Tribolium castaneum: one gene and its partner. The protein of the gene in region 1 purifies or fractionates together with the protein of each later gene. This does not show direct contact. Links are inferred from orthologs where the notes say so. Each region holds a gene or a part of one and is shown on either strand. Other genes may lie near its edges. The genes, in order: Polr2K and Polr3B.

Region 1 (2,454 bases):
ACCTTAAAACCTATCCTACGTGATAGGTTTTTTCCATAAAATTTAATAAAATCACACCATGGTTGTGGTCTCTTAGGCTCAAAAAAACATTTTGGGGAAAATCAAAAAAACACTTCAAAAATCAAAATTACCTCAGTGCGCTGGCGGGAAACCGGCACGCAACGGTAAACCTCGCCGGCGCCCTTTCAGCACGTGGTGCAATAACACAACGCAGTTATCGCAGCCCTAGACGGCCATCATTGGCCCCCACGTCCTGCACCACCTTCACTCCTCCGACAATTGTCAGTCCAAAAATCGGCGAATTTTTTACTCTCGGCGTTTTCAACGGCGAAGCCACACGTCGCGACCGGCGCGCTCAGACACCGGCGTAGAACCTGCGTGTATTTAGTTTTATTGATCGCACATGGACGACCTTGAATTTGGTTAAAGAGGAGGTTGCGTTGCAGAAAGTGGTCCTGCACTGCCCTTGCGCGAGACCTTGAAATTTTCGCTACAACTGGGCCCTGGGAAATCGATGCATTGCCCCAGGTGGTGCCCAAGGTGCTTGAATTGTCGGACGTAGGAAAGGGGAAAGACAGGTTTGCAAATAATAACCCCAATGTAAAAAACACTCTATTCCAACCTTAATTAATTACAATTTTTTCACCGGGCGTCAAACACGGCCACTGGATCAAAGTTAAGGAAAAATTAACTGAAAATTTGCAAGTGTTAGTAATTGATAATAAAAGGATACATCGTTTGGTTCTCTTCTTGTACATAATACGGTACCCACATTCCCGGCACCTGATTGGATCCCGCGGCCTTATTTCGTTCTCATTGTGGCATTCTAAATAATTTTCGAAAATTTTCAAATCAAAACATAACCTCACTTTCACGTACCTCCGCAAATGTAAACCATGGGAGTTTTCGTGGCCCCTGAGTCTTTGGTCGAAGGTTCCGACATCCTAATCACTTAAATTAGCACAATTTTTAATACAAACGAGCGGGAACGTAGTTTTCTCCTCTAATAAATTTTGTATAAAAACAACGCCACCATGCCGACTTAGGGAATTTCATCTTTTTTTTGTTATTCCAACGGTTGGCAACGCCAACGTATACAAGCGCGAAATTCAAAAAGGTGCAGGAATTTTTGATAGTTTATTAAAATTTTATTGAAATATAATACGTCCATTCCACATACCCAGCTCGAATCGTACTTTGTAACACTTGACCCGTCTTCAAATATCGATATTGTCATCACAATATGGCCAAAATTTGTTTACAATATCTCATTTAATAAAATAAACTACACAATAAAATAAATAAAACAAGCTAAAAAATACAAATTCACTATAAATGGCTACGGTTGCCTTTAATTAATAAAACTGCGATCCTCAATCGTCATATACATCCCTTCTTCCTCATATGTCGAATCATGTTTTGCCAAAATACGCAATAGAGGGCGCAGTTTCAACCACCATTGCTCTTTAGGCATACGCAAGCTAAAACAATTTAAAGTAATTATAAAAAACAGTTTAATAATTTATAAACGTACTCAAAGTTGGTTTGTTCTTTCAACTCAGCGACTGGTGTAAACTTGTATTGTCTTTTAACGATTCCTAACAGAACGACGCTGTCTTGACTAGAACAACTGACTGAGCCGTCTGAACTCATATTGCTTTTTAATTGGTTGATCATCCATTCGACCGCTTTGGACGCCATTTTGGTACCAACATTGCGGTCAAAAGGTGTGGGGGAACCCCCTTGTTGCATATGACCTTAACAATACACACACAAAAAAAGTATTAAATTTTTAAACAAACAAACGTCTATATAAATACCTAAAACGTTCATCCTGGCACTAAACAAGCCTTTTCCTTCCTCACAATACAATCTGTAGATAAAGTCGGTATTGTAGTTATCTGACGCTTTTTCGTTACGTAAAATTAAACCACGTTGTACACCTTCGGACATTTTCGTAGCCATGTGGTAGACATCTTGTTGCAAGTCTTTAATTGTGAATTTTTCCTCGTAAATGTACGCAGCATCCGCACCCCCAGCGAGACCTAACATGTGAAAATAAGTTGGCGATGCTGAATAATGAATGTGTTGGCAACATTGACTGTCAAACTTAAACATTAATATTTACCTTTTTTATATCATTAATAGATATTTAATTACCCCATGCATCAAATATACAAGGTGTATCAGAAATAAGATAATACAAGTAATACGAACTCCTATATTTTATTTCTAAAATGGAGGATTTTGGAAGAAATAAATTACGTCAAAAACTAAGTAGTTCTGAAACAACCTGTATAGGGTCGAATATTTTACGTTTTGAGACACAAACTGTCTTCATTTCATACAATGTTGCCAACTTAATATCGATATTACCTGCAAGTGTGGCCAAATATCCGCAATACCCGCCCATGGTTTCAATAATAAAAACCCTCCTTTTCGTGCCTTGAGCCG
Region 2 (4,566 bases), on another chromosome or scaffold:
TTATTTTTTCAAACACAATAGCAATGCCAATTAATTGTGAACACCATCAGTAATTGAACTTTTCTTTGTCATTCTTAATAAGTTATTAATTTTATCACCAACGAGCTTAGGAAATGTAATAGACAAAACTTTTTATTTAAAAGAATACTCATTTTTCCCATGTTCCGTTCAAATAAGCTTTGTTAGGAGGTTGCACAATGAGTGATAGTAAAAAGAATTATACAATTCACACAGTATACTCGTACATGTTACTTCTCAATGTTCTCATGTTCTCACAGAATTCATGTTTTTTTACAATAGATATACTTATTTCGTCTTTTGATATGTAAAGTAAAAATAACTGCTAAAAATAGTTATTAATAATACGAGTGCGAAAACACAAGCTTAAAGTTCGAGGGCTGTCGTTATGCAACGAGCGTATGCGAGAACCCGGAACTTTAAGCGTTTTCGCATAAGTATTATTAAGTTTTTTTTGTTGGAACATTTTACTTTAAAACACGTTGCTATGAGAAGCGAGTTTTAAAATAGTGAAAACATTAATTTAAAACACGTTACTATGGGAAGCGTCTTTTAAAATAGTGAAAACACGCTGCTATGGGAAACGTGTTTTAAAATAGTGTTTTTCTATTTCGGTTTCGTACTGAGGTCACTTTCATTACGATACGCGATTTGCGTATCGTAATATCCAACGGAGTTCTATAATAATTACACTAAAACCAGGGTAATTTATTTGGATAATGTTTACAACCTAGTTTTCTGACAATCATTTGTTTCAAATGTATATTTTAATCAAATAAATCAAATATGAACCTTTAGAGGCTCTTGTACCATACATGATTCAGTGCAAGTAAGTAATTTGAGATCTCATATACTAATATAGTCTAGGATTCAGATATTAAAAAAGGCTTAAAATTTTACCAACAAAAAACATTTTTTTAATTTACCACTTATAGAAAACTTTGTATATAATGAACTGATTTTGATGCATTTTCTGAATATGTTATAACTTACAGCCGGATTCCACTGTATTTTATTTGCTATTTTAGATTGTTCAGTAAGTTTTTATAGGCAACCAATCATACGATTTTTCGAACGGAGGCTTCTTTCGTAACAAAACACGGTGGCAAAGTTTCTTTTCTAAATCTGACGTCCCTTAAGTAGCATATCACCTAAAAATGATTTTTTTTATTAATTTTAATTTTTTATTAATGACAATAAATTTCATGGCAATGTAAAAGTATACTAATTTCACATTACATTATTTGGATTTTTATCAGTACTTACAATTTCAAAGTACCCATAAAAAATTATGTAAAGTATTTGTGAAATCTGGTCTTTAAAACACACACTATATAAGTATATAGTATAAGACTAGTATATATAGTATAAAACTATAGTATATTAAAGTTAATATACTATTAAAATTTTGAAATTTTTAATAGTTTTTGCAATCGTGTTTTAATGCAACCGAAAAAAACTCAGTTCGAAAAACCGTATAATTGGTTGCCTGTACACCCAACTCTCTACACCACATAACCTACATGTTTAACTTCACATTTTCAACATGTAAACAAATAGTTATTAAGCGTAACAGTGATAAACTAATTAATAAGTTGCAACAAAAAGCGCTGAAATGGATTTTGACGATCCCGCCCTTCTCAAAAAACCAATCAAAGAAATCGAAGTAATTCAAGTTTCAAATTACAAAACCTAAAAGGTATTCAAAAATCATTTTTAGGAAAAATGGAAACTAGTGCCCGCCTTTTTAAAAGTCAAAGGATTAGTAAAGCAACACATTGATTCGTTCAATTACTTCATCAACGTTGATATTAAGAAAATCGTGGAAGCCAACAACAAACTAGTTTGTGATGCCGATCCTTTATTCTACGTCAAGTAAATTATAAGGCGCTTTATAAGTTTGGTTTTATCTTAATTTCGTAGATATACAAATGTTTATGTTGGACGACCGGACGTTGACGAAGGCTTCAACATTAGCAAACCTACAACCCCTCATGAATGTAGGCTGAGGGACATGACGTACTCAGCCCCCATTTCCGTAGATATTGAGTACACTAGAGGCACTCAGCGGGTATCCAAAGCTGGTTTAATGATTGGCAGGTAATTTATTAGAAAAATAAAAAAAAATATTGTAAAAACACCAATAATTTTTTTAAATAACAATTTAGAATGCCAATTATGCTCCGTTCCTCCAACTGCGTCCTCACCAACAAATCCGAGTACGAATTGGCAAAAATGAACGAATGTCCTTTAGACCCCGGCGGCTATTTCGTCGTCAAAGGCCAAGAAAAAGTGATCTTAATCCAAGAACAGCTCTCCAAAAATCGAATGATAGTTGAAGAGTCCAAATTTGGGGTCCAATGCGCTGTCACCAGCTCCACACATGAGAAGAAGTCGCGAACCAACGTCGTATGCAAGGCCAACAAGTACTACCTAGGACATAACTCCCTAACTGACGTAATTATTTTGTGCATTCATCGTCAAATTCCCAACAAATTTTTGCAGTTAGTCCCTGTTTCAATCATCTTCAAAGCTTTGGATGTGACAAGTGATAAAGAAATCTGCGAATTGATCGGAGTTGAGGATATTTCTAAACTCACTCCAACGTTAGAGGAGTGCCACACTTTAAAAATTTACACTCAGCTGGGGGCACTTAAACACATAGGTTCGAAATTAGTAGCTAAACGTTACGTGACGTCTGCTAGCAAAATGAAAACGCCAGTTGATGAAGCGAGGGACGTTTTGGCGACCACTGTTCTAGCCCACGTGCCTGTGGAAAACTACAATTTCAGGATGAAGGCCATTTATTTGGGAGTGATGGTCAAAAGGTAAATAAAAAAGTCAGATCATAATCACCGGGTGACAAAAAATTGAAATTTTAATTTGGCAACCCTGAGTATAAAATTCTCTTGTCAATTGTCTGAGTGTTGCCAATTTCAAGGTACAATATTTAACAATTTTTTGTAAAAAAGGGTGATTGAGGCACAGTCGGACAAGAAATTCATGGATGACAAAGACTACTACGGCAACAAGCGTCTCGAATTGGCCGGCTCTCTCCTTTCTCTTATGTTCGAGGACGTTTTCAAACGCTTTAACTGGGAACTAAAATCCATCGCTGAAAAAACCATCCCAAAAATCCGAGCGACTCAATTCGACGTTGTCAAGTATATGCGCTCGGATCTGATCACCAATTGTCTGGTCTACGCAATTTCGACGGTAGCCAATCACAAATCGCCGCGATTCGGCTTCTGATTGGTCGGTTTCAGGGCAATTGGACCATCAAGCGATTCCGAATGGAGCGTTTGGGTGTGACTCAGGTTTTGTCACGGTTGAGCTACATTTCCGCTTTGGGGATGATGACCAGAGTTAATTCGCAGTTTGAGAAAACGAGGAAGGTTTCAGGACCCAGGTCTCTGCAGCCGAGTCAGTGGGGAATGCTGTGTCCGAGCGATACACCCGAAGGAGAGGTATATAGTAAATTTTGTTTGCTTTTTTATACATAATATTACGGAGCAAATTAAATTCTCTGACTCTTTTTTGTCTTACGCCATTTAGTTCTGTTTTTATCATTGATTGTCTAGCAATAGCGTTCGCACGTTTTTAAATTGTGCTCGTTGCTCGCAAAATGCAAACACTTCAGTTAAAACCATACAACAAAAATTGATAGAATAAAGTAGCTGTTTGGTGATTTTTTTATTCGATCGGTGAAAAAATTAAAAAAAAAATTCTCGATGTACTTATAGGGAAAAACGTTCTATTATACACGTAAAGAAAAGTTGGCATTATCTGCTCGTAATTCCTTTCAGAAACCCATCACTCACAGATAATGAACAGCTTTTCTTTACTTGTATAATAAACGACTATTTTTTAACGATTACCAATCTGGTCAGCTGGAATAAGTATTATTGGTTGCATATTTATAGAAATTCAGAATAACTCACTATTGATTCACCCTGTATAGAAGTCTAACTTTACTAATAATTAAGCTACAGAAGACGGGAGCTGAGCAGGGTTATCCTGTATGAATGATTTGTATAAAATTTCCTTTTTTTTTGTTAATACGACTTCTTTACCTTGTCAGGCTCTGTTGAGCAGAGTTTAAAACATCGAACGCAAGCCAATGCTGTAGTTAATATAGTTATTAATAATACGAGAGCAAAAGCTTAAGCTTAAAGTTCTAGAGCTGTCGTTATGCAACGAGCTTATGCGAGTGTAATTTAACTTTTTTTGTTGGAATATTTTAATTTAAAACACGTTGCTGTGGGAAGCCTTTTTTGCTAAAAATTAAGATAGGCAATATCTATAGTCAAAAATTTTATTTACCAAAAAAAAATTCATAACTCGAAAACTAAAAGTCGTAGAGCAATGCGGTTTGTTCCATTGAATTCAGCGGCTTATTTTGCGTATAAAACCATCTTTTAACAAGATGTAAACTTTTAAAGTTTTTTGCTAAAAATTAAGATAGGCAATATCTATGGTGAAAAATTTTATTTACAAAAAAAAAAAAATAATTCATAACTCGAAAACTAAAAGTCGTAGAGCAATGCG

Evidence for each region.
Region 2: the proteins of Polr2K (region 1) and Polr3B purify together in Homo sapiens (affinity purification with mass spectrometry; 3 studies listed by BioGRID and IntAct, with this or other methods). This does not show direct contact. The link is inferred for Tribolium castaneum from reciprocal best matches to the Homo sapiens genes POLR2K and POLR3B.

Annotation. Positions count from the first base shown.
Region 1 is NC_087394.1:4,870,975-4,873,428, forward strand, and holds Polr2K (DNA-directed RNA polymerases I, II, and III subunit RPABC4), read right to left. Parts: upstream 1,072-2,454; 5' UTR 944-1,071; coding exon 880-943; intron 827-879; coding exon 734-826; intron 666-733; coding exon 643-665; 3' UTR 600-642; downstream 1-599. Other genes in the region: Pfk (ATP-dependent 6-phosphofructokinase), read right to left, coding at 1,352-1,481, 1,535-1,757, 1,821-2,045, 2,377-2,454. UniProt on the Homo sapiens protein: DNA-dependent RNA polymerase catalyzes the transcription of DNA into RNA using the four ribonucleoside triphosphates as substrates.
Region 2 is NC_087398.1:9,958,174-9,962,739, reverse strand, and holds the start of Polr3B (DNA-directed RNA polymerase III subunit RPC2), read left to right. Parts: upstream 1-1,490; 5' UTR 1,491-1,633; coding exon 1,634-1,684; intron 1,685-1,738; coding exon 1,739-1,893; intron 1,894-1,941; coding exon 1,942-2,118; intron 2,119-2,186; coding exon 2,187-2,475; intron 2,476-2,523; coding exon 2,524-2,846; intron 2,847-2,990; coding exon 2,991-3,234; intron 3,235-3,284; coding exon 3,285-3,485; intron 3,486-4,566. UniProt on the Homo sapiens protein: Catalytic core component of RNA polymerase III (Pol III), a DNA-dependent RNA polymerase which synthesizes small non-coding RNAs using the four ribonucleoside triphosphates as substrates.